2 linked regions of the Rhinolophus ferrumequinum genome follow. The protein of the gene in region 1 interacts with the protein of each later gene in a pairwise test. Links are inferred from orthologs where the notes say so. Each region holds a gene or a part of one and is shown on either strand. Other genes may lie near its edges.

Region 1 (13,042 bases):
GAGTTTGCATTCAAGGCTATAATAAGATACTGGTTATTGTAAAAACGCTAAATGTCTACTAGTGTCTTGCCTTGCCAATCCAGCTTTCTTGCCTTCTAAAAATGGGTACCTTGAATTTACTAACTTGTCTAGAGCTACAACCCACTAAACGTACTTGTCATATATTTCTTAGCCATGGAATAATTGAATTAAGCTTGCAGTCATTACAAAGTATAAACAAGAAGAAAAATGCTTGGCTTGATACTTCAATTGATAGCAGCCTCATCAATTTTATCAATTTGTCTCTACTACCCTCTAGTGGAATCATAGTCATAATATCTTTACAGCATTGCCTGCAGATTACACACACACACACACATGCAAATATGCAGGTTTATAAATTTCAGCCTTATAGAGTTTGTCACAGCCTTAGGTATTATAAACTCGTGGAGGAAATTACCTTTTAATTGGTATTCTTGCTCCTCTCCTTTCCCACATTAATCCTTTCTGGAAAGTACAGCCAGATTAAACTGTTTAAAGGGAAAATGCAATCCTATCACTCCCCTGCTCAATAAAAAACCGTTAGTCGTTCCCACTGGACTGTTTGAAGTGCTGCTGATCAACTTCCCTACAGTGACTTCCAAAAATCTTCACAATATGAATGCAACTCTCCTTTTCATCCTTCTACCCCTTCACTCCCTATACCCACTCTGCCCTCCAGCTAAATCCCATTGATGGATGTTCTCCAAACCAACCCTGTGCTTTTCCACTTTCTGCCTAGAATGCAACCCACCTGGTCATCCCCACCCCACCAACTTCTTTTTCCCATTTCTATTTGCTAATGGTGTGTTCATATTCCAAGAATTATTTCAAATGCACCCTTGGTTCAGCTTTACCAAACTCCTTTTATATTAGTTTGGTGCAAAAGTAATTGTGGTTTAAAAGGTTAAAAATAATAGCAAAAACCGGAATCACTTTTGCACCAACCTAATAAATCCTATGCAAGCCAGGCACCTCTCTGACACTGTTGTCTGTTGCATATGCCGCTCCCTTTGTCTGGATGGTCTACCCAGGCTCCTCTCCTTCAATTCCCATTTAAGTTGACAACATCAGCTTTCCTTCTCAACATAAGGCAAGGATCTCATCATTAATGAAGCATTATCTACCTCCTCCAGAGATTTTTTTTCCCCTCTCTTCTGTGATCCCATTGCAATCCATTCAAGTCTCTGTTTCAGTATCTACTAACATAGCTACTATTTTTGTGACAGGTAGTGACAAAGTGATTAGGAAAAATCATATTTGTGAAGTGCTTACTGTGGGCTGGACATTGATCTAAGTAAATGTTACATGGCTTACCTCATTTATGCTCAAAATGACACAACTATATGTTTCCCCCAAAATCAGACCGGGTCTTATATTAAGTTGTGCACCAAAAGACACATTAGGGCTTATGTTCAGGGGATGTTGGTTAGGTCTTCTTTTCGGGGAAACATGGTGGGTACTATTATTATCATCATGTGAGTAAATGAAGCACAGAGAAATGAAGTGACTTTCTCAAAGCCACAGGTAAGGGTAGGAGCCAAGATTTAAAAGAATTTGAGCCTAGGCAGTCTCTGGACCCTGAGCTTTTAACCACGACGATAGCACAGCCCCTCCAGAAAGGCTCTTTGTCAGGGTAGCTTGAATGTCTCTCTTCTTACCTCTCATTTTTGAATCTGTGGTTTGGGATTGGCTGTGGAAAGAATCAAATACGATGCCTGGGGTAGGAATACGTTTTTGTTTTGTCTTGTTGAATGACAATGTCCACTTTCTTCTTTGCAATTCTTTTCTTTTTACACATGTTCCCATCTGCACTTTGAAGTTTTGGAAGACAAGCGCTTGGGCTTAATCCTGTTATCGAATGTTGAAACAGCAGATCTGAGTGAGACATTACTTTGCATTCCCCGTGTGCTTGTTTCAAAATACCAGCTGAAGGAACGTATTTAATTAATTAAATCGTTAGCATAAAAGAAGTGTAATCATTTGTATAATCACCCCTCCTCTGAAGCTCGAGGGCAGATAGTCTAATTCATCTTTGTGTCTTTAGTAGCCCTCAAATAATGCCAGGCAAACAGAAGACATTCAAATATCTGGTGAGTGGAACTGACAGAGTTTTCTGTCGGACTTCAGAATCATGTCACTGGTCTAAAATGACGCACCGCCAAGGGTCAGATAACTGCTCACAAACAGGCCCCTGGAATCTATAAGACACTAAAGTGCCTGCCTCGTGTTTGAGGAAAAAATAAATTATGTCCCATATTAGTTTAGCAGTAAGAGGATACGATTATAGTTTTGCTCTTTGGAATTTTTCAAGAATAGTAAACATTTCAAATAAAACAGAATATTTCATGCCATGAACCCCCAGGCCTGTATCATTCCAGATGATGGTGTATTGAGTTAAACTAGGAGATTGTTTGCTTAACACTATTGGAAAACAAACTTTTATATCAATTCTTTTATTTACTGATTAGAGATCTAGTCATAATCCGCTGCCCCGCTTCATTGGGCTGACTCTAAAAGACAACGATTTAAAGAATTACTTGTTAAAATAACTTTTTAGTTCTGACAGAAAGGCCTAACTTAGGTATCCACAATATCGTGACAAAAAATGTAAAAGGCATTAGGAATCCATAAAAAGCATCAAAAATATCTCAGAGATTTAACTAACATCTAACAGCCCTGATCATCTCTCCTGGTTCCAAATATGTATAAAATTTTCTGTCAGTTTCTGAGTTAAATTCACCTTGAATCTAATGAAACTTAAGTGTCAGGGTCCTGCCTTGGCACAGGCCCTTTCCAAGGCTCTGAGAGGGGTGCTCACAGGGTTGTGTGTTTGTAAAGTATATGAAATAAGATACTTTCATTACAATCCATTCAGGTCACTGTTACTTTTTACTTGAACACTCCGTCAGTCACACTTCCCCACCTGTCCAGTGGCACCGGCAGGACCATGAACAATGGTGAGAATTGGCTCAGAGGAAGCTGAGTTGAGGATACATTTAGTTTAGGATTAGCGGCATCTAGTTATTTACCCACCACACTTCCAAGTTATTGCCACCAGTCCTAACGTAGGAAGGGCTTCTGGGAATACTCTGCCCATCCATTCAGCTGACTCTCTTGGCCTCTGGACATGAAGGGATAGGGTCAGAGATTTTATATGAACTCTAAGTAAATGGGAAGTGGGTAATAGAGGAGAAGCTAACCTGTGGGCAATGCTGTCAATTATAACATGCATAAAATTATATCATTACCGCATCTAAACTGAATTTCTCCTGTGTCAGGAATACGCTTGTTACCACAGCATGGACAATTATAAATATATCAGACAATTTTTGAAATCTGGAATATTTAGAATGATGCACATTAGAATTTTGCATAATTCCTGTGTTTGTAAGGCACAAGTTTATGAGTAGAGTAGTAGCATAGACACATACAAGTATGTGAAAGAAACTTGATGTTTTCTCACATTTGACAGAAATGCTAAAAATATATGTGACATAATCAATAACGATGTGAGAGCCACAAAAACTTTTTTGAAATGATCAATCATAAAAAGCCAGTTTGGATTAACCATGCTAAAGGAAAGACTGCATTATCTTTTCTCTCTTAATAGAAAATATTACAAAATTGTGCCATATAAAGAGAAAAAGATAAATAGCTCATCAGTTCGGTGAACAAATAAGCATTTAAAATATGGATTCCAAAAATTGTAAACCCCCTCAAATGTAGAACAAAGGCAATATAAAGATCTGTCAGGCAATTAATAAAATACTTTTTAATGGATTTTGTGACTTGATGGTATTTTTTAACTTTTAATATTTTGTAATTTTTTATTCTCAAATATATTTTCCATCACACTTAACTTAGCATTTTTTTTTTTTTTTAATTTAAAAAGGGCCCCTACATGATATACACTTCAGGCCTCACGGAACCTGTATCTGCCTTTGGCCATCTGTGGCCACGTGGCTGTCCCATGATACATCACAATCCACAGGCCAGAGTGGCATTTTACCCCCACGACTGCTCCTTAGCCTCTCTGCAGATGGCAGTGGCATCAACGCATGGTCAAGCCCGCACCCACGCCATCCCTGATGAGTCTTTCGCCCTTATTCATCACACCCGATCGACTCCTTAGGTCTTACAGTCCTAGCTTCTCAAAATAGCTCATCGTTACTTCTTCCTCTTCAAACTGACCCACACTCCTCTAGTTGAGCCCCTGTTGGGACTGTCGCAGAGCCCTCCACTGGTCTTCTGGCTCTGATGCTACCTCACTGTCCCTCCTCGCATCTTCTCTTCAGTGACTTTTCTCTCCAACTCCCATATCTGACTATGTCACTCCCCTACTCCCATTTTTCCCCTTTAATTTCATCATCCTGTCCAAATCCTTTAGCACAACCTGGGAAGGCCTTGTGAGATATGGGTATCTAGCTCCCTAGCACTTTCTTAGTTTGAGATGCAACAGCAAAACTAGCATGGATTTCTTTTTTCTTCCTCACTATTTCATGGGTGGAAGACTTGTTCTTACTGTAGAGCTTAGCAACCTCAGCATACAACTTTTTTCTTTCCTCATAAAGTCAAGAACTTTCACCTTTTCACTTAAAGGAAGTGCTTTATGGCTTCTCTTTGGCATTTTGAATTGCCAGCATCACTGCTCTTGCACTTTGAGGCCATTATTAAGTGAAATTAGAGTTACTTGAACACAAGCACTGTGATTCCATGACAGCGGATCTGATAACCAAGATGGGTATTAACTAAGTGACTAATGGGTACGGGATGCGTCTACAGAGTGGATATGCTGGACAAAGGTAGGATTCACATAGGAATTGTTTCTTTCTGGAATTTTGCATTTAATATTTTCAGACCATGGTAAACAGTAGGTAACTGAAATTGTGGAAAGTGAAACTGCTAGTAAGGGGGGATTATTGTAGTCACAAGTAACTGTTTCTCGAATTTATTTTATCTGAAAAAATACTCGTGCTAGTCTGCTTGGGCTGCCATAACAAAATACCTCAAACTGGGTGGCATAAACAACAGAAATTAATTTCCTCACAGTTCTGGAGGCCGGAAGTCTGAGATCAGGGTGCTGGCAGTGTCAGGTTCTGGTGAGAACTCTCTTTCTTGCTTGTAGATGGACCCTTCTTGCTATGTCCTCCCATGGAGGAGACAGAGTAAGGGAGAGATCTTATAAAAGGACTAATCCCACAGTGAGGGCTTCAACCTCATGATATCATTTAAATCTAATCACCTCCCAAAGGCTCCGTCTCTAAATATCATCATATTACAGGGTGGGGCTTTGGTGTATGAATTGGGGGTTGGGGCATAATTCAGTCCACAGCAATACTTATATCTAAAAACAAAGCAAAACAAAAGCCTCATGTGCAGTACCAACTAACCTTTTCTTTTCCTTCTAAATGGAGTTTACCAAAATATAAGTATGAAATTTTGTGGGGCATATGACTTTCCATCCTCTCTTCTTCAGTTCTTTTTTTCATATTACCTCCAGAATAGTTCTAACATACAGTTCCAAGACTGTACCTCTCCTCAGCAACTTTTTATAACAGTATTCAGGGCTCTTCAAGATTCTGACTCTAAACTCCTGTGCTTTAGAATGCCCACCCCACATTTATTTTCTCCAGTGTTCGTTCAAATGTCACTTCCTCTGCTTGAATTAGTAATTTCCTTCTCTATGTTCTCACATTATCTTATAGCATAAATTACAACATAAGTGCCAGAAAACAATTCTAAGTAATCATTGTATTCTCCCACGTCCACACTTAGAGCAGGAATTGTATCTGATTCATTTTTGTGTCTATTTAAGCGCAGCATTGCACTGTAGAGACATTGAATACAAGTGAGACTTATGTGTAATAAACTGTAAAATGAATTTACAATAGCATGAATTTACAATAATCCCTGAAACTTCAAAAACAAAGATAATCAAGTTAAATTAAAAAAAAAATCAAGCATCACACCTGTGGAAACTTCTGGTATTCTTTATGTTGAACATAAAGTGGATATAATGAATTACTACCTGTTTTTAGATGGTCTCAATTAAATTCCATGCTTAGGCCTCCCAGAGAGAAAGATATATATTCATTCATTAAAATCAGTACCCTAAACTAGCAGAGAACAGTCTTCTTTCCTAGAGTACTTTACTGGGGGTAGCCAGTTTTCATTTAAAATGTGAATTTGGCATTTTAAAGTTTATTAGGTTCAGGTAGAGATTTTTTCAGACCCCTACCTCCACTCTAAATTCTCTGCCTCTGTCACCTAGGAGCATAAAGTTGTCAAGGCTGAGCATTTGTGCCACATACAGGGCCAGATGATACATGTTACTTATGTAAAAAGGTATTAAACACCTCCACGTATGTGATAAAAGAAGTTCCATTGCTTCTCCTATTCTGGGTCATCTAATATACTTGTAGAGGTCATGGTAATCATTCTTTGTTCTGCATCCCTTTAAGGTCAGTGCAAAGAGAAATTCTTGCTAGGGGAACCTTATTATCACATTCTGTTTTACTCTTCTATTGTCTTGAAGATTTAAGAATGATGTTCAAGTGCAGAAATCTCTCTTAAGAATATGGTGGAGGGCAATGAAAGAGAATGTTTGATACTGGGTTACTTAAAGACCTCTTTTTTTTCCCTTATAGAATTGTGACTTTGTTTATTTGTTTTAAATAACATTTAAAATACCGATGTGAAAATATTTTGAAATTAAAAAAATACAATTTTGTTTTTAGTTTTTAAATAAGTAAAATTTTAAATAAATAAAAAAATTTAAAATAAAAAAGTGAGGTAAAAACAATTATATATATATAAAAGATATATATATATATATAAAAGAAACATGTTTCTTTACATTGTTGAGGACGTCTTTCAGTTTTCCATTTTCTTGAAATGTGCTCCTTCGGCCTAGCCCAAAAGTCATCTATTTAGAAAAACATAACTATACACTAGTTTGAACAAAGTAATGGAATCTGGATCTAAGTATAGTATCACTTTTGTGATGAGCTAGTTGTGCACAATAAATTTTTATTGTGCTGATATAGGAAGGGGGGGGAACCAACCGAGACCGATCAGTAGGTTCCTGATGACTAGAAACAGTAGGACGACGCTCTCCAGGGATGAAGGACGGCGCTTGCGCGCAGATTCATTTGGCGCCCGCCCTCCTGCTTTTTCTCCAGCCGCCGTTTTCTTCTGCTTTCGCGCTTCAGCCACCGGAGAACTCCGCCCAAGCGTGACTGGGCTCTGATTGGCTCCTTTGAAAGTCTACGGGCCACCTCATTGGCGAACCCGGGACCCTTTAGAGCGGTGAGTTTGAAACTGCTCGCATTTGGCTTCAAAGCTGGCTCGGAGCAGTGAAGGAAAGGGAGAAGCTGACGCGGTAGCCACCGCTGCCCCTTTTACCACGGGGTAACGTGCCGGGGAGTGTTGCTGGGTCAGGGTCATGCCTGTGGGGTCCACAGGGGTCGGCTCGGGGGCTTCAGAGGGGTAGTATTGAGTAACTGGGTGGGAATTTGGAAGTTGGGCTGGGCAGCGTGGGGCCAGGCTGGGCCTCCGGCGGCTGGGCCCGGCCTTCACCTGCGGGCTCGGGCCTGGGCGTGTGAGTGACGCCGGGTCCCAGCTTTAGAGGGAGGTTTAGGGGAGCCCAGAGCTGGTGGGGTTAAGCCGGGGAGGGCTGCGGCTGCCCTGGTTTCGGAGTTGCGGTCTGGGGTCGCGGTCGGCTTTTCTCTGGAAGAGGCCGCCCACCTGGCTAGGGAGGCTTTAGGGTCGCGGTTGAAGCCAAATCCGGGCATTGGCTCCGCGACACCGAGCGCTGGCGAAGTGCCAGGCTCGGTCCTAGGTCCCTTGTGCGCTCTGCCCTCGCTTCTGGGAGTGGGAAGCAACCACACTTGGGCCAGGTCTCCAGGCCAGTCCATTGGTATTTTACATCCTGCAGCTAGTAGTACTGAGAGCCTTCGGAGGTATTCAAAAGGCCTAACGCTGCATCCTTGATTCAAAAATGGTTATGGCAGGAAAATGGAGGGAGGCTACTCGAACCCAGCTGTGAAATTGACTTAGTTTTTAGCTAAATGAGCTCAACAATTTTATTGTGCATTAGGCATATTAAATCAGGATACTGAAGGAAAGATAATTATCTTAATCATCCATTGCCATTTCGTAAAATTAAAAATTTTTAAGGTTGACACTCATGGCCAGTGTAGTGCAGTTTTGTTCATTTAAAAAGATTTATCTCTATTTCTGTGGAATGATTCTGAAGATGAAAGTGAGAAATAGAACTTAAGGGCCAATTACTCAGAGTATTCAGATGACCTTTATATATGATGTTATCAGTGACGGGTGTGTTAGAAAATCAAGGTAATTATGCTTTGGGTTTCTTCTAGTTATGTTTCATAGGCAAATTTACCAGCCAAGGAAGTCTGGAGTGTCTGGTTATCTGCATTTCAGCTTTTTTTTTTTGACCATTATTTGTGATTTAAAAAAATATATATATATATATATGTGTATATATATGCATATATATATGCATATATACACATATATACATATATATTTTATATGTATATAAACTTGTTCTTGAGATTGTATAGGGCATAATTAGAACTTAGTCTGTGGAATTGCACCTTTTCTTTTAGGGTGCTAAATGATATTTCCTACTCTTTCAAAAAATACCTTGAAAGTGTTGATCATGTTTGTGTATGTGACTGCTAAAAACAGAAAACTCACTTGAGCAAGCTTAAACACTTATGCTTTTAACAATCTAATGAATGTGCAGTGTGACCACATTTTAGCTCCCTAGTCATGTCTTTAAATTATCTTCACAAAATCATAAACCAGTAAATATTCAGTCAAATAGCATTTGTTGAAGTATCTGGGTGTAATTGGCACATACTGGTGCTCCTTAGAAGTATTCCATAAGAAAACAGACTTCTGGTTGTTTGGGAAGGACAGATAAGTTGATGTCTGAATTTAAGGGGTTATTTGATTGAAAGAAGCTAAACACTGATATATGATACAAATATTTCCAGTGTTTTAGGGGTTAAGAAATGTGGGGAAGTCTTATTGCTGGAGTACTTTCCCTTGTAAATATTGTTTTAATGCAATAACTAATATTTATGAAAAGTTAATACTGTACCTAAGCACTGTGGAAAGTACCTTACATATAGTATTTCATTAATAACTTAAACCCCTCTTTTGAATTAGTGGCATATAATCAAATAATTTTTTCATCTCATTTTAGCATCTACCATACCTATTGATTAACTATGGAAGACTATACCAAAATAGAGAAAATTGGAGAAGGTGAGTGCTTTTCAGTAATAAAAAAATGTTTAATGACTTAATGATGCTATAACATCTGTGACATGAAGAAATGTAAATATTTATTAAAATCCAAACTTTAAAGCATCTTACACTACTGTGCATTAATATATATGTCCTTTACATAAATAACTTAAACACAAGAAATAACAAAAATGTTCACATTTCAAGAGAATTGAAATTATTCTAATATGACTCTGACAGCCCCTCTCCCCCATAATCCTGCATTCTTCTAATACTAAGTACTTAAAAAGCAATATTTGTATTTTGAGAAGACTAGCGATATCTTGTGTGTGTGTTGGGGCGAGAAGTAAGGACAGTAGAATTATGTTAAGTTTCGTAATACACTTTTAGTCTCCTACAATTGTTTTTAATATGATAAAATCTTTTTACCTGAATCTTCCGAATTGGTTTCAATAATTGACTATTACACTAATTTAAATAAGTTTCTATTGTGTTCCCCTAGGTTTAAATGATGTGTGTACATGTTTAAGCTATTCTTTAGGTTGGTGCAAAAGTAATTGCAGTTTAAAAGAAAAATAATTGCAAAAACCAAAATTACTTTTGCACGAACCTAATAAAACCAATAATCTAATCATTTGTTCTTTCTGTTGTAATTTCATTAAAGTTTTTAAAGAATATATCCATATGTTATAAATGAGGGATAAAAATATCCCTCTGCCTGTTTTTCCTCCACCAACAGCATATCTTACGTTTTATAGGTGTCTTGATATTATTAACATTCTAAGCTCTCCAGGAACAAATGACATAACTTATAATTTACAATTTGCTACTAGAGTCTAATTTATGTAGGTTCTGTTTGAGGAACATTTCCAACTATAGCTTTAGTGTGCTCCAAAGCCTTACTTGTATAGGAATACTATTGAAAAGCCAGGGGAGGTAGTAGAAGGAATTCAGTAAGATAATAATGACAAGTTTGGGTGGTGATTGGGTTGGAGATAGATTCTTTCTTTTAACTTAAAATTTTATATGATTTTTTTAAAAATAAATTTACTTAAAAATTTTATTATACCCATTCAACTACACTAATTTTGTTACTGAGTTAAAAATAAGTTTGATTAGCATGTCTAAGGCAGATCATTACCTTTTTCTACCTTGGGAGAAACTGATAAAAGCTATAGAATAGCCTCCCTAAAAAAATGTACTCTAGTCACTTTTGAAATTATACTGATGTCATAGAAAAATAGCAAAAGCTATTCAATAAAATTTTACATATAGTTAAGCGGCTCAAGACTTCCTTAAAATTTTCAACCCCAGTTTGAAAAGCACTTATCTAGTGGATTAAGTATACCATGTATATGAACTTGATTTAGCTAACTATGTAATCCATCTCCCTTATTGCCACTTCCATGCCCAGATCCCTTATACTGATATTGTGAAGTCCAACTATCAGAATCAGTGTTCCCATCAACTTCTGAATGGGTCTGAAGCTTTTCTACTATGTGGTAAATAATGTGACCTTTATTGGAGTTAATAAATATTTAATGAAATGTTTTATCCCCATTCTTTTCTGGATGAGGATAGACTATATATTTGAAATGCATAAAGTACTGTATACAGAGTTTTCTGAAAGTGTCACAGTGACTCCTGTTAGTAATATTTCCTGAGCCCAAATCTTTATGCCTGTTCTATGCCTGTCTTATTGCTGGGTAGGATATTTGAATCTTTAGGTTGTGGAGGGTGTCACATAGCAGGCGTTTGTTTTGTCTATTTCAGGTACCTATGGAGTTGTGTATAAGGGTAGACACAAAACTACAGGTCAAGTGGTAGCCATGAAGAAAATCAGACTAGAAAGTGAAGAGGAAGGGGTTCCTAGTACTGCAATTCGGGAAATTTCTCTATTAAAAGAACTTCGTCATCCAAATATAGTCAGGTATGGTATAATATCTGGATTCTAACCATTTTCCCCATGCTATTTAAAATGGGGATTTCAATGTGGGAAATTTACACATTTGCTTAATTTTTGGTATAACCTCACTGGGTGGAAAAAAAATACTATTTTTGTTAATTGAGAATGCTGGGTATGGCATAGGCTGTAAAGCAGGAACAGAGGTAAAGGAGCTTGAGCTTGGTCATAGATACTAGTATTTAGGGCTGAAAATCAAGGTTAATTGGCCATGGGCGAAAAGGAAGACCTTTTCACTGAGCTTTGTTAACTCTCCCAGTCTGAGAGCTCTGGTCTTTAAAGATCCCTTCATCAGAGTCCTAAGATAGGCAGTTAGGTCAGATGAAAAAGAAAGAGGGTTTTGTTTGTTGTTTGTTTATTTGTTTTCTTTTTTCTTTTTAAATATTTGGGCTGGTGTTTTGTGGGTTTGTCTTTCTAAAGGTCCAAGTTAGGATTTAATTGATTGCGGGGGTAAAAGAGGGGTGGTTGGAGATAGGTCAGATATTAAGGTCAGGTATTACTTTAAAATTTATAATTTACTTAATGGAAAGACAAGCTCTGACCAACAAGCAGTCAACCTAAAAATGTTCTTTTGGAATATAAGTGGTTTGACAGCAACTCTTGTATAATACAACTTAACTTCCCATTGCTGCCCTGAGATTTCCTTTCTGAAGTTCTTATTTAGCTCTAGTGAAGGTTTTCACCACTAGGGAAGCTACCATCTCTTCTTTCCCAAAACAGTATGTATTTGTTACAGAAAATTTCTTATAGCCCCACTTTTTATAATAGCCACTGTGAAATTTAGGGAAGTCGTTTTATTTTTTGAGAGAGGTCAGAAATGTGTGCTAGATTTGTTTTTGTTTTTGTCCCTTTTTTTGGTCATAATTGTTTTATTCTTTAGTCTTCAAGATGTGCTTATGCAGGATTCCAGGTTATATCTCATCTTTGAATTCCTTTCCATGGATCTAAAGAAATACTTGGATTCTATCCCTCCTGGTCAGTTCATGGATTCTTCACTTGTTAAGGTAAGAAGCTTGCCTAATTTTATTAGTAATTATCCACTGTGAATGTAAAAGCTCTACTCTATAGAAATGCCTGTGTTTTGTGGCAGTATGCTTGGAAATAGTGTTAGAAAGTAGAATGAGGAAGAAAAGAATATTTCATTTTCTCCCCACAGTCTAGAGATTAATTAGATTGTTAACAGTTAATTTTTTACTAAATAGTGCTTCTAGTTATAAAATGAAAAGTAGTGCCAGAGATAACATAAAACTCAAAAGTATGTGTTATATTGTTGGAAACTAGGATATTCTGGTCTTTTAATTGGCTATTGATGTGTGTAAAACAAAGTGACAAAAGCCTAAGGCAAGATGGTGGTTGTGGTGGCAGGTAGTTTTTTTTCCCCCCTCAATTCTGGTTTTGATTATTGTAGATATTTTCTGTCCAAGTATAAAAGTATACACAATTTTTTTTATAAGTACTGAAGTATATAAGGTAAAAGTGCCTTGTCCTTATACCAGCTTCAGCAAACCACTCCAAGTCACTTACCTCTGAACTACTAAACAGGATTTTCTGATCATTGTATCTATTTAAACATATAATCATACTGTGCTCTTTGTCATTTCTTTTGGAATCTGACCAGTGTCTCCAAAGAGGAAATGAACATGTAAAGATAAAGGATAGAGATGAAAAAGACCAATTTTATTCAAGATAGAAATAGAGTTGCTATAAGTATATAGAGCAGAAGTTTAAGAAACTTTCTGTACAGAAAACGAATTTGTGACTTAAGAATCAAGGACT
Region 2 (12,527 bases), on another chromosome or scaffold:
TGTTAACAGTCACTAACAAGACAGACAAAAAGTCCTGCCTCATAGAGCACAAGTTCTCGTCCTCTCTGTACATGCCAAGATAGTCCTTGCTCATGTTCCCACAGTGTCTGGGTGTTTTTTTTTTTCTTTCTGCAGCTTCCCCTGCCATCCAGGACGTGCCAAAGCAACAGTCTCTCTTCCTAACAAAGGGCTGAAGCAAAAAGAACAAGTGTGAATCAGCTACATTTGAGGACAGGTTGGTTAATACCCATTCAAATGAAACTGGAAGGACATTTCAGAAAGAGAATGCCATAACTAAGTTTGGGATTTGGCCAGGTCTCCAGATTTAACAGTCTCTGAAAGGATCAGTGTTTTCTAATAATCCATCTGACATGTTATGTTCAGAATGTGATTTTCTGATTAAGGCACTAGGTGCGAAACTACTTCTTGACTAAGCGGCAGACAGACGCTGTAAAATCCATGCAAGGTCACCCAAGTGTTTGCTGCGGAAGCTGAAAGGGGCAAGGGATGTGGCCATATCCTTTCTGGTCACGTTTCAGAATAAACAGATTTAAAGGACAGAACTGCAACCAGGATTTGGCCACCCTGGGAAGGAACGCGGTGTTTGAAAAACATCCTTCCCAGACTGAAAGCCACTCAGACATGGGATCGTCATTCCAGGCATTTGGCACACTGGTTTACACTAGCGGCCAAGTGCATAATTGCCAGGAACTGGCCAAATCCACGGAGACATCAGTCACTTCTGAATGCTGAAAAATGTTTGTAATATACCGTAATAAATGTAAGCCTGACTCATTTAATCAGATCTGAGTCCCACACTGGGGATTTCTGCACAGGAGGGAGATGTTTACGGAATTACTACGTTTCTCCGCTGCCATCTCCCATTTCAGGAAGAACAGAACTATTATCTGGTTGGCCTTGCCAATTTCTGTTCTATATTTTAGGTCATTAATATGGATGCTTAGAACATACATGTTTCCAACTCATTCTGAATTCACTCCAGTACGAAGTGATGAAAATAGTGCTCTTTTTCCTTATTTTAGATTGAAAATGAGCTAAGTAATCCTGAAAGACAGAGATGTAAGAGTATCAGACTCTCCTCCATTCCCGACAAATTTCATAAATTGGTTTCTCCAAAACCAATGAGATGAGATGGGGAAAAGGTCTAGTTACACTTCCCTGTAAGAAGCTGTCTGGGGCTGCAGCAACTTGGATAGGCGAGTAGCCCAGCTTCAGGAGCTGGCCAAGCTTTCTCCTCACATGAAGGTAGAAAATCAAGCCAGCAGTTAAAGGCTCTGTTCCCCAGCTTCTTTGAAATATAATAGAACCTTGATTCCTCAAGTTCAGAAATCTCATTTTCCCAAAGATTGATCCAGCCGCAGGTCAATGATTCATAGCAAACAAACTCACTTGAAAATTCTCTGAGCTTAGAAGTCAGAGTCTTTTGACTTCAATCAGGTCTTTCGACTTCAATGCCCCTGCCTTTTCTGATGGGGTACCTCACCTTCCTAGTGGGAAACCACACGCAAGTGTAAGAAGAGGTTACAAATGCACTGATGGGGGCAGCAGGGCGGGCACCAGGGTGGGACAGGCTGCATGGAGCAAGCTGGCAGTGGACAGTAAGACCCATGTGACTGAGGCTCAGGAGCCAGCATCCAGCTCCAGGGCAGGCCAGGGATGGGGGAATGGCAAGAGATAATGAGGGCCCCACTGAAAACCAACATATGAATGAAACAGAAACTGCCTCAGTAAAACAGCAAAAGCCAGATTAGGAAAACCTGGGGCACAGGGCATGCCAGGGGGGCCCACCAGAAGCATTACCCTCCAAATGAGTTTCATAGCAGTCTATTCCAGCTATTTCCATCTAGACCAGAGCAGAGAAGAGCCTGTAGGTGGAGCCAAGCGGTTGCCAGCCTTGGGGCTAAGAGGAAACGCGGGGGCAGCGAACTAGGCAGGTCACTGCAATGCCAACACCAGATTTCAGAGTTCAAAATTCTTTTCTACATATTCTTTCTTGACTGTTCTAAAATGTGCTGTTGATTCTGTTCTACCTCTGGAAAACTTTCCTAGAGATGGCATGAGAGACGGTGGCCATATATCATTTACCAGCCAAACCTGGAAACTTGAAAGCAACAGAGCTGTTAATAATTATGCCAGTAGAACAGTCATAAACCAGGACTAACCCGGGCCAACCCAGACATGCAGTCACCCTCGCCTGAGACCAAGCACTCAGGACTCAGACATGCCTGTTTACAGCTTGTAGAGGGTGAGATAATCTTGCTAGGGTTGTTTACAGGATAGGCTAGGGGACTCCTGGGAAGGAACTCACCCTAAGGGAAAAGTCAAAGTACACAAACTGGATTCAGTGACATCAAGACAGAGCCAGAGGGGAGGGATGGTGTTGCCCAGTGTTGGCTGTACCCTACATCCTGTGACCCAGGTTCCATGGCTTTAAAAAGTCAGTGAAACTAAAAAGAGCTGTTTTATTAAAATTTCCGTGGGACATTGAAGATTTAAGAGTTAGCAAAATCCTGTGACAGCAATTTCAGCAGCCACAGAGAAGGTGCAGTTGGCACAGCAGTTGGGTGGGAAGTCAGTGGGTAGTCAGCTTGGCTGTTGTCAGGCGTGGGCAGTGATCTGTGACATTATTCCAGCAAGTGAGAGCTGGAGAGCCAAAGACAGTGGGTGCCTTTCTCTTGTATCATGGTCATCTGTGAGGACCCACTGAACTATTATAAAGAATAGAGAGGGGCTACAGTTCACATAGTGGACAGAGGAAGAACCAGGGAAATATCATTTCAAAGTATGGTTATTTTGACTTTAATTTTAGCCCCAAGCTGGTGATGACTGGGAAAGTTAAGAAATATTTCTTCCATCACAGTGTGAGGTTCACTGATGTTGTCTAAGTTTGGGAACCTTCTTAATTTGGGGCCCCTCAGTTCATATCAGTAGTTTTATGGTCTGCAGAAGGTATGAACCCTCAAAATATATACAGTCTATGATACTTGCATTTCAAAAATAATGTAGAAAAAATACTGACACATGATAATTAATACATAATATAGAAATATTTTCTAAAAATTCCTAAAAATTATAAACCTTTGCTACCTCTTAAAGAATGGCATCTACTGATTCTCTCTGATATCCAACTGATTAGTATTAGTCATTAACAATTTGAAATTAGATGCTACTTTGAAATAAAACGACTTACTCACCGAATGGCTAAAATGTAAAAGTCAGGCAATCTCAAATGTTGGCAAAGATGTTGGGCTAGAATTCTAACACAGTGCCAGTGGAAGTGTGAATTGCTATAACCTCTTTGGAAGACTGTCTGGCAGTATCTACTAAGGATGAACATATCTACTTCTTCTCTAGTATATACCCAACAGCAATGTATACATATGTTTACCAAAAGACATGGACAAGAATGTATAGTAGCACTATTCATAATAGCCAACACTGGAAACTACCCAATGTTTATCAACAGCAGATTGGAACAAAGTATAGTATATTCAAACAATGGAATACTGCCATGAGAATAAACAAACACAACTATACACAACAACAAGAATGAATCTCACAAACATAAAGCTGAGCTAAAGAAGCCAGACACGAAAGATTCCTTTTATATACAATTCCCAAACAAGCAAAATTAAGCTATGGTTTCAGAAGTCAAAACGAAGGTAACCTTGGGTCAGAATAGCAAATGGGAACACAAAGGAGACTTCTGGGAGCTGGGAATGTTCCATTTCTTGATCTGGTTGCTGGTTACATGGGTATGAAATTTTATCGAGCTTCTCATTTGTCACTTCTCCTACATCAAGCTAGACAGTAAGTCCAACTCATATTCAAGAGAAGTATTATGCTGCACCTTGTGATGGAGCCTGGCAAAGTCACATTGCAGAAAAACATGTGGGAGGAGTGAAATTGTTATAGAAAATACAACCTATTCCAGTGATAAAATGCAATGGCATTTTAAATTTTAAGTGATATTTTAAATAAACTTTACAATCAACTCCAATTATCCAGGGAAAATCAGAACTCAGCATCATTCTGGGATAAAGCAGAAATCTTAGGAAGGTAAAGAAGGAAATAAGAGCACCAGCAATCAAAGCATACAAGACCAGGAAGTATGCTCCAGTTTGGATCACATGTATTCCCTGGACTAATAAGTGTGACGGAAGGAATAGGTACATGTATGGGTGAGTCCCAGTCACACGCCTAACAAGACCACATGAAATGGGAAAGGGGAAATTCACCAAAGAGAGAAAAAATGGGAAAATAACACATGTCTACTGCAAATGTCATATACTATATCTGATGGTCATCCCAAGAGAAATTCTTAAACTTGTCAAGAATGAGGAAGTACATTCTTTCCAAGTTGTATTTAACTCTAAGATTCCAGTGTTCTCTCCCTAACACACATGTCAAGTCCATTAGTATTAATATTAAAATATTTTTAAAATACGGATCTAGTTGTAAAACATACATCAAGTGTAACTACAGATGGCAATCATGTTTCATTTCTCTTTGAGCATCTCTCAAAACACTCATCTGTCTATGAACATGTGTTAACACTTTTCTCTCTGGATAAATCTTCCACACTGTTTTGACCACATACATTTCTGTTAACAGCCATGAGTCACACACCAAAAAATTAACTGAAGACCACAGGTGTGGCAGGTTGAACTTAAGCCCCGACTCTTCCTCTCAGGGAAGAATCTTGGGAATTAGAGCGAAACCAAGTTATTATGATGCCACTTAACCAGCTGTCTCAGTCAGAAGCTTTGTCAGTTTATGTGGAACCCTCCATCATGAAGAAAGCAAGCCAAGCAGAGGAAAACATTTTAGCATGGTAAAGCCAGGAGTCTTAGTTTCCAAGAAGTAGACTTAAAGTCATGTTATTAGAAGAAATACATATTTCTCTCATTGACTATGTACCAGAGGTGGGCAAACTTTTTCTGTAAAGGGCCAGACAGTAAATATTTTAGGCTTTGCAGGCCATATGGACCCATTGCAACAATTCAACTCTACGTTAAAGCTCAGAAGCAGCCATAGACAATACTTAAACACATGAGTGTGGTTGTATTCCAATAAAACTTCACAAAAACAGGCCTGTGGGATTTGGTCCATAGGTCAAAGTTTGCCTGACCTAGACCAAAACAAACAAACAAACAAACAAAAACAAAACAAAAAACAAACAAAAAAAACACCTACAGAGGTGAGATGTGTTTGTCTTTGGCTAGTTAAAAAGAAAGCCTGGGCACAGCCCTGCTGGTGGAGGAAACAAACAGAAATTGAAATGCTCCAGTTTACCCTAGCCTTCCACTGCCTTCCTACCATAGGAACTCATCCTCTCCTCTCTGCAGAAACAGCAGGGCTAGAACAGGTTGAGACTGTGTTCATGTTCATTGGAGGCCAGAGGTGGCAGAAGTTGCACAACACAGAGGCTGGTTCTTCACTAACTCTGAGGGGGAAGGTATGTTCTGAGGAAATGGAAGGGAAGATTAAAGGGATCTGTGGAGACAACACGGGGAGAAGTGGCAAGAAGGCAAAAGTTAGGAAGTGAGGGAGTATCAACATTCTGAAGCCCACTCAGAGAGGACTTGTTCCCCTGTAATTCATAGAGATATGAATTACCTTACCCAGAGCCCAGGAACTAATCTTTCTTTGGAACCTCTCTAGAATCCTTCAGAAAAGAAGCTCTTACGCCTCCCACAAGGCACTGCTTCATTTCCTACCACTCTCCATCTCACTCAGTCAGCTTCTCCCACACTGGCCTCCTTGAGGTTCCATGAACACACCTAGTACATTCCCACCTCAGGGCCTTTGCACCTCCTTACTCTTCAGACAGATTGAAAGCTCTTCCCCTAAATATTCAAATGCTTCACTCTCTTCATTCTGGTGTTTCTCAAATGACGTCTCCTCAAAGATGCCTTCCTTGACTTTTCTGTCTAGAATAGCATCCTCATTAGGCTCCACTTGTTTTAATTTTTCTTCACAGCACAAATCACTATCTATCTCCCGCAACAGCATGTGAGTCTCATAAAGGCAGGGACTTTGTTTAGTTCATTCCAGTATTCCAAGCACTTTGAATAGTACCTAGGACACAGACAGTGCTCAATAAATATTTAGTGAATGAATGGATGAATCAAGTCCAGTGTGTCTATTATAGCTAATTTTATGTGACAACTTGGCTGGGCTATGGTGCCCAGATATTTTGTCAAACATTATTCTGGATGTTTCTCTGAGGGTGTTTTTGGATGGGATTAATATTTAAATTGGTGGACTTTGAGTAAAGTTGACTCCCCTCTACAATGTGGCTAAGCCTCATCCAATCAGTTGAAGGCCTGACTAGGACAAAAAGACAAGAGGGCATTTTGCATCAGACAGCCTTTGGACTTCATATGCAACATCAACCAGTCCTAGTTCTACTGCAGACTGCCTTTGAACTCCAACTGAAACTCTTTCCTGAGTCTTAAGCCCTCCAGCCTGCCTCATAGGATTTTGGACTCGCCACGCTTCCACAACTGTGGGAGTCAATTCCTTAAAATAAATCTCTTTATGTATCTATCCTATTGCTATCTTCCTTACTAAGGAATTATTCCTAATAGCTCTATTTTCACAATGTGAGTCAGGGAGCTGAAACTTCTGCATACTTTTGTCTGATCTGCAGGTAACATTGCACCAAGTGACTTCCTTCCCCACAGCCAGAGAAATGGGGACTGGAAAATAGGGAAGAAAATAATCAAACACATATTTTGAAGATTATAGCCAATTATGTAAGAAACACTGGCACTTGGAACCATCTGGACACTCTATCTTCCCTTCATACAATATTATTTCATTCATACTTGGTGAAGAGGAATGTTGATCTATACCTTAATCTGTCTAGATCCTGGAATGGTAAAGAACATAAACTATCAAATATACGAGGTAGATTTGTATTCTAGACTTTAGCCATTTCCATAGTATTTGTATGATTAGATATGACCATAATTATAAAGCCTATGGGATGTGGTGTGTTTTCATAAGATGCTCTTGGACAGTTCTCCTCCACCTCCTATCCACCATGCCCTCAAAACAAAACAAAAAATTTTAAAGAAAACAGACAGAATCCCCTACTCTGATGCCACTTGGAAGTCCTGCCATGAGGAAGCACCCCTTTCCAGCATCCGCAAAGCGCTGCGGCTGCGCTTAGACACTTTCGCTCCGCCCCGCTCCCCGCCCCCTCCACGATTCCAACTGGCGTGAGTTGGACGCCCTCTCGGCCAATCAAAATTCAACGGGGTTCTCCTCCCGCGCGTCTTTCAAAAGCCACCTAGGAACCAATGAGGGGTTAGAGGCCGAGCCAGGGCCTCCCGGGGCGGAGCACGAAACGGGGAGAGGGTGTGATTGGTTCCTAGAAGACGCCGCGCTCCACCTCACAGAGGGATGTGCCAATGAGCTGAGCCGAGGGACGGGCTCGGCGCGGGGCAGCTGAGACGGGGGTGCTGCCCCAGGGAGGCGGTGGCCGGTCGCGACGTGGGGAAACCAGCGATGAAGCCGGTGAGTTGGGTCGAGGCTTGGAGGAGAGAAGCTTCAGGGACGCGAGAGGTCCTAAGGCCATTTCTTGGGCCCGGGGACACAGGCCGGGCTTAGTCGCGGAATGCCTCTCTGAACAACCGTCTTGGCTAGGGGAGGTGGCGCTTCCTAGGACTGGAGAGAGCGATGGCTGTGAAAAAACGGGGTCGGTGGCGGACGAGGGGAAGATGGACATTTGCTGTGCGCCTGTTTTGGGCTATGTGCTGTCGCCTGCGGGGTCTCCTAAGCCTCACGACAGCCCTGCCAGTGAGGGCTGAGCCCCGTTTTACAGAGGAAACTGAGGCTTAGAGAGTTTGTTTCTGTGTATCAGTCTGCCTGATATCACAGCCTCAAAGGTTGTCCAGGGCTGCCCAGTGGACCCTGGGGAGGAGTCCTCACCATGGACGAGGAAAAATTCATGAAAGACGATTGCCAACCCCCGCTTATAGGTGTTGTCACCACTGTCATCCCCCCGCCCCCCAGGGCCAGAGGGCACTGTGCGCCTTTCCCTGGGGTTCAGAATCCCTGAACCCGGGAAAGCGAAAACGTCCAACTTAGGATTTGTAAACCTGGCTAAAACAGCCTGAGTGAGTGGGCCACACAAGTTGAAAATCTCGAATCATCAAAACTGCTTTAAAGAGAAAGAGAAAAAGAAAAAACAGATGCAAGGAGCTGAAATCCTACCTGACTCACATCACCCATCACCAAGGTTGACAACCTTATTGAAGGGCCTTCATTTGAGTTGAGTTAATAATAATAATACAGAGAGATCCAAAGCAACTCAAATCCGTAGCCTAATTTGGCTCTGTAATATGATCTTGTAATAACAAACAAAACAATTATAGAATATAGCTTCAGAACTAGAAGGGACATTAGGTGGTTACAATGAACTAATCCCCATGTTATCACATGGAGGGACACCAGTTGTTTTTCCCTCCTGACCTCTTTCTCTATTTGTACCCAGAAAGGGAAAAGTGAGTGATCTGATCCTCAAGTTTGGGAGGAGCTGAACACAAGTAGCTCCACCCTTTTTTCCCTGGTCTCTCTACATAGAGAGTACTTTCTGGAGTGCTCTCTGCCACACTGAGCTCTGGGTTGTCATTGGCTGCCTCTTAGTGGGTGGATAAATCCAATTCTAGAGTGACGAATTGAAAAGCCCACCGGACCACAGCTTTAAAGCCAGATCCTCCATTTGATACTCAGTAATAAAACTAATATATTGATCTCCGTTCGCATCTCTGGCATCTTATGTCTGTTGGTTCCAACTAGGGAGTAGAAGATGTGTTTTTTATTGCCTGCAGGATTGAGTTCCAACTCCTTAGATCAGCATAGAGTCCATCTCAATCTCTCTAATCCAATGATTCACAAAGTTGGGGCCAGGTTATTCCACCTATACTCCTTCCCTCCCCCAGCCAAACTATTAGGCTGTATGGGGCCATGTTTTGAGAAATGGGGTAGGCAAAACTACATCTCTAGCTTCATCTCTGCTCTAACACAGTTCCCAAATACACAAGCCCTTTCTCATTTTGCCTTAATTGCCTTAACTTCTTCCCTATCTGCCTAAAACCTCCTGCTTATTCTTCAAAACCCGGCGAATGCATCTTCTCCGTAAAGCTTTCTCTAGCACCCTTAGTCATTCCCTTTTCTGCTCAAAAATACATAGATTATGCTTCCATTTTAGCTCTTACAACTTTCTTCTTCAATCTGTGCACACATCTGTGTCTCCAACTATATGGAAGGTAGGCTATTTATTTTATGAATCTTCGCTCTCCAGACCTTGACAAATGAAGGTGTCCAAGAAATGTTTGTGAATGAATGAATAAACCTCCTCACTTTATAGTTGTGTACAACTGAGATCCAGACGAACTGCCATTGTTTGTTCAAGATTATACAGTAAGTGGCAGAACCAAGACCAGAAGCCCGGTTTCTTGATTTCCAATCCAACTCTCTTTCCACTATATAGTGCTGTAAGGTGGCAAATAGCAATAATTTACTATTGATATTGCTGATGTCTCTGATATTCCAGATTGAATAAATTGCAAATATGCATTTAGTGTGTGTGTAAGCAGAGATCAGCTATAATTAGACTATATGTAAATATTCTTTACATTTATTTAACATAACTGATTTCTTTTGAAGCCTGGTTCATTGCAAACAAGTGAGTTTGACTCCTCAGATGAAGAGCCTATTGAAGATGAGCAGACTCCAATTCAGATATCATGGTATGTTAACATTTCTGATCTTTGTAGTCCACATATTGAAAATATTTCATGATTTTCTTCCACTGATTGTATAATTCTAATCTTAAAGGATTATCTAACTCCATGATTTATTTACTATGTATGATAGAATTAGGCTTTTTGGAGGATGGGTCCTTCTTTATGCCCTGAGAAAACCATAGTAGAAACAAGTAAGGAGCTGAGATAGGAATGTAATGATCTCCCATTTAGTACCAAAACCTACTTATTCTTTTATGACAAAAGAATAGTGTATCAAACCTAGGATGAGATATTTAATTGTTTATCATTTAGTCAAATCTTAGAACTTGCCATAGTAATGTATTTATCAGCAGACACTGTTTAAGATAAAAGCCACATACCATAGATACAATAACAAAAACTAATGTTTCTATATAAAATTGGCTTCCAAATCTTGGCAGTGACTTATGGTTGGTTATACAAGAATCTCTACAACCAACAATCAAATGCTTTCTCTCATCCCTGTAAATGTAATAATCTAAGAAAGCACCGTTCCCTACTATAGGAAGAGAAAAAGAGTGTAAGTGTTGTTCCTGAAGGTTTTTGTTTTGCTATTAAATAACAATTATCTTTCATTGCCCTTTCTAACTCCCCTTTTAAACTCAAAACTCGTCTGACTTTCAAATTCTGGTGATATTTATATGCTGCCCCCTGTTTTCCTCTAAACTCATCTTCTGTCTTGCAGACAAGGTGAGCCTCTGCCTGCTTTGTCCCTGAGTACTGAAAACTGGGAATATGATTTCTTTAAATTATTTCATTTTTATTCAAATCCATTACAACAAAGATGGGTGGCCTGTGGTTTTTATCATATGAAATTATATCTGTTTAAGGAAGTTCTACAAAGAAATCTTAAAATAGTAATGTGGAATGAATGCTTGGGATGAAATTGTCATATGGTCATTTTCCAGTTCATTTCCTAAGGTTACTAAGACAAAAAAACCTCAGGTAACATTCCACAGGGTAACTTAAGTACACTGTATAATAGCTATAGGCAATCTAGGCATTATTATTTTTAAGGTAAATTTAAATTAACCTGCCACTTTTAAGACTTAAATTATAACACAGCAAATGATATGTCTGTTTCAAAACTTTCAGTCTTTTTAGGCCTTTTTGTAACCAACACATTGATATTTAACTATGAATCTTTGTTTTGTCACTACTATAAAACTTTAAAACACCCATGTTCAGTGGTAAGCAGACATATTTGTTAAATTGAATTTCCATTTATAACCTTTTAAAAACTGAACTAAACTTGATAAAGTTTTATTCTTTTCAGGCTACCCCTGTCACGAGTGAATTGTTCTCAGTTTCTCGGTTTATGTGCTCTTCCAGGTGGGTAACACTACAGTTGGCTTCTTATTAATGTATTTAAAGGTTTTGTAGTTGTTGTTTTGTCAGTTAACACATCATTCTGAGCAATAGGAGAATTTTCACAGACCATCAGCATGGGAAGCCCTCATGGTGGGTCATAGATAAAGGGAACTTAGATCAACTCTTCAAGCCTTCCAGATCCACATTCACAGTTCTACATTTCTGATTTACCTATCTTAATAAAATGTAAACACTGGGGTACAATGTGATGCTGAGGACTATAGCTGGGTAATTATTACAGAAAGGACACAGAATAAAAAAATCCTTGCATTAGGAGTTCCTTCAACTGGGATCTATAAATCCCTGGATTATATTCCTAAGAATATAAGAAATTGAAATTCACATTCAAAATGGAATTTAATCATATAAGTGATCATGTGGAATGACTTTCTAAAGTAGCTATATATGTATTTAGATATACTTGTTATATATGACCTAAAACTATCTTTTTCACTTTTCTTATTACTACTTATAGGTTGTAAATTTAAAGATATTAGAAGAAATAGCCAAAAAGATACAGGTAAGTATAGTATGAAACAACCGTATTAATAGGTTTTTTTTAATAACACTGAAAATCTCTGTCAAAAAGAACAAATTATAGTCTCTTCTCAATATACCAAATACATGTTTGATATTTTGTAAAATTTCAAACTATAGACTTGTTCTAATATGTGAAGAGGTATTTGTGAAGGGCACAGAGAACTCACCATTTACTAAACATGATGCTGCTTTTTGCTGATTGTTGTAGTTACATATAGAAACTGCATATGAGTTTAGAATGTATAAGTTGCAGAGAGAAAAGTTTGTAAATAGAAAACTTGTAAATAGACATTGCACTCCCCAAATCTTTGAACATGCTGTTCTTTACAGACTCGACTGTGGTAGCAGAAATTAAGCCTGAGCTGGGAACCCAGAGGTGGTAATGAAATTGTCCATCCTGGAGAGAAAAATTCCCCACCAGCATCTAGGTGGGGAAGACGGAGCGCTGTCTGATCTTTTCATGTCCAAGGGCATACCACTACAGCCTCAAGTCTAATAATTCCCAGAAACATCCTGATAATCTATCCCAATTTGGAATTTACATATTGCATGATACTAAAAAACTTGAATTTTCAAAATAGTTTATTCTGATTTGCCTGGAATATCTCAAAGCTAGTAGTCCTACCAATGTCCTTATAAAACATCAAGTAAAAATGTATATATTGCTTGATTCTGACTGGTATAAATTTTGTAAATCTTAAAATGTTTTCCTGGTTGTTTATGAATACCTATTTGCTGATGTACTTTCTCTAAAGTATTCCCTACCTAGCAACAAAGACTCAAAGAGGCTAATAG

What was found.
Region 2: the proteins of CDK1 (region 1) and CDKN3 interact in a two-hybrid assay, tested with the Homo sapiens proteins (2 studies listed by BioGRID and IntAct). The link is inferred for Rhinolophus ferrumequinum from reciprocal best matches to the Homo sapiens genes CDK1 and CDKN3.

The regions. Positions count from the first base shown.
Region 1 is NC_046299.1:41,134,632-41,147,673, forward strand, and holds the start of CDK1 (cyclin-dependent kinase 1), read left to right. Parts: upstream 1-7,195; 5' UTR 7,196-7,329; intron 7,330-7,331; exon of another isoform or gene 7,332-7,431; intron 7,432-9,259; 5' UTR 9,260-9,284; coding exon 9,285-9,321; intron 9,322-11,076; coding exon 11,077-11,233; intron 11,234-12,146; coding exon 12,147-12,270; intron 12,271-13,042. UniProt on the Homo sapiens protein: Plays a key role in the control of the eukaryotic cell cycle by modulating the centrosome cycle as well as mitotic onset; promotes G2-M transition via association with multiple interphase cyclins.
Region 2 is NC_046289.1:38,742,267-38,754,793, reverse strand, and holds the start of CDKN3 (cyclin-dependent kinase inhibitor 3), read left to right. Parts: upstream 1-7,426; 5' UTR 7,427-7,539; coding exon 7,540-7,548; intron 7,549-9,702; coding exon 9,703-9,785; intron 9,786-11,097; coding exon 11,098-11,153; intron 11,154-11,667; coding exon 11,668-11,712; intron 11,713-12,527. UniProt on the Homo sapiens protein: May play a role in cell cycle regulation. Dual specificity CC phosphatase active toward substrates containing either phosphotyrosine or phosphoserine residues. Dephosphorylates CDK2 at 'Thr-160' in a cyclin-dependent manner.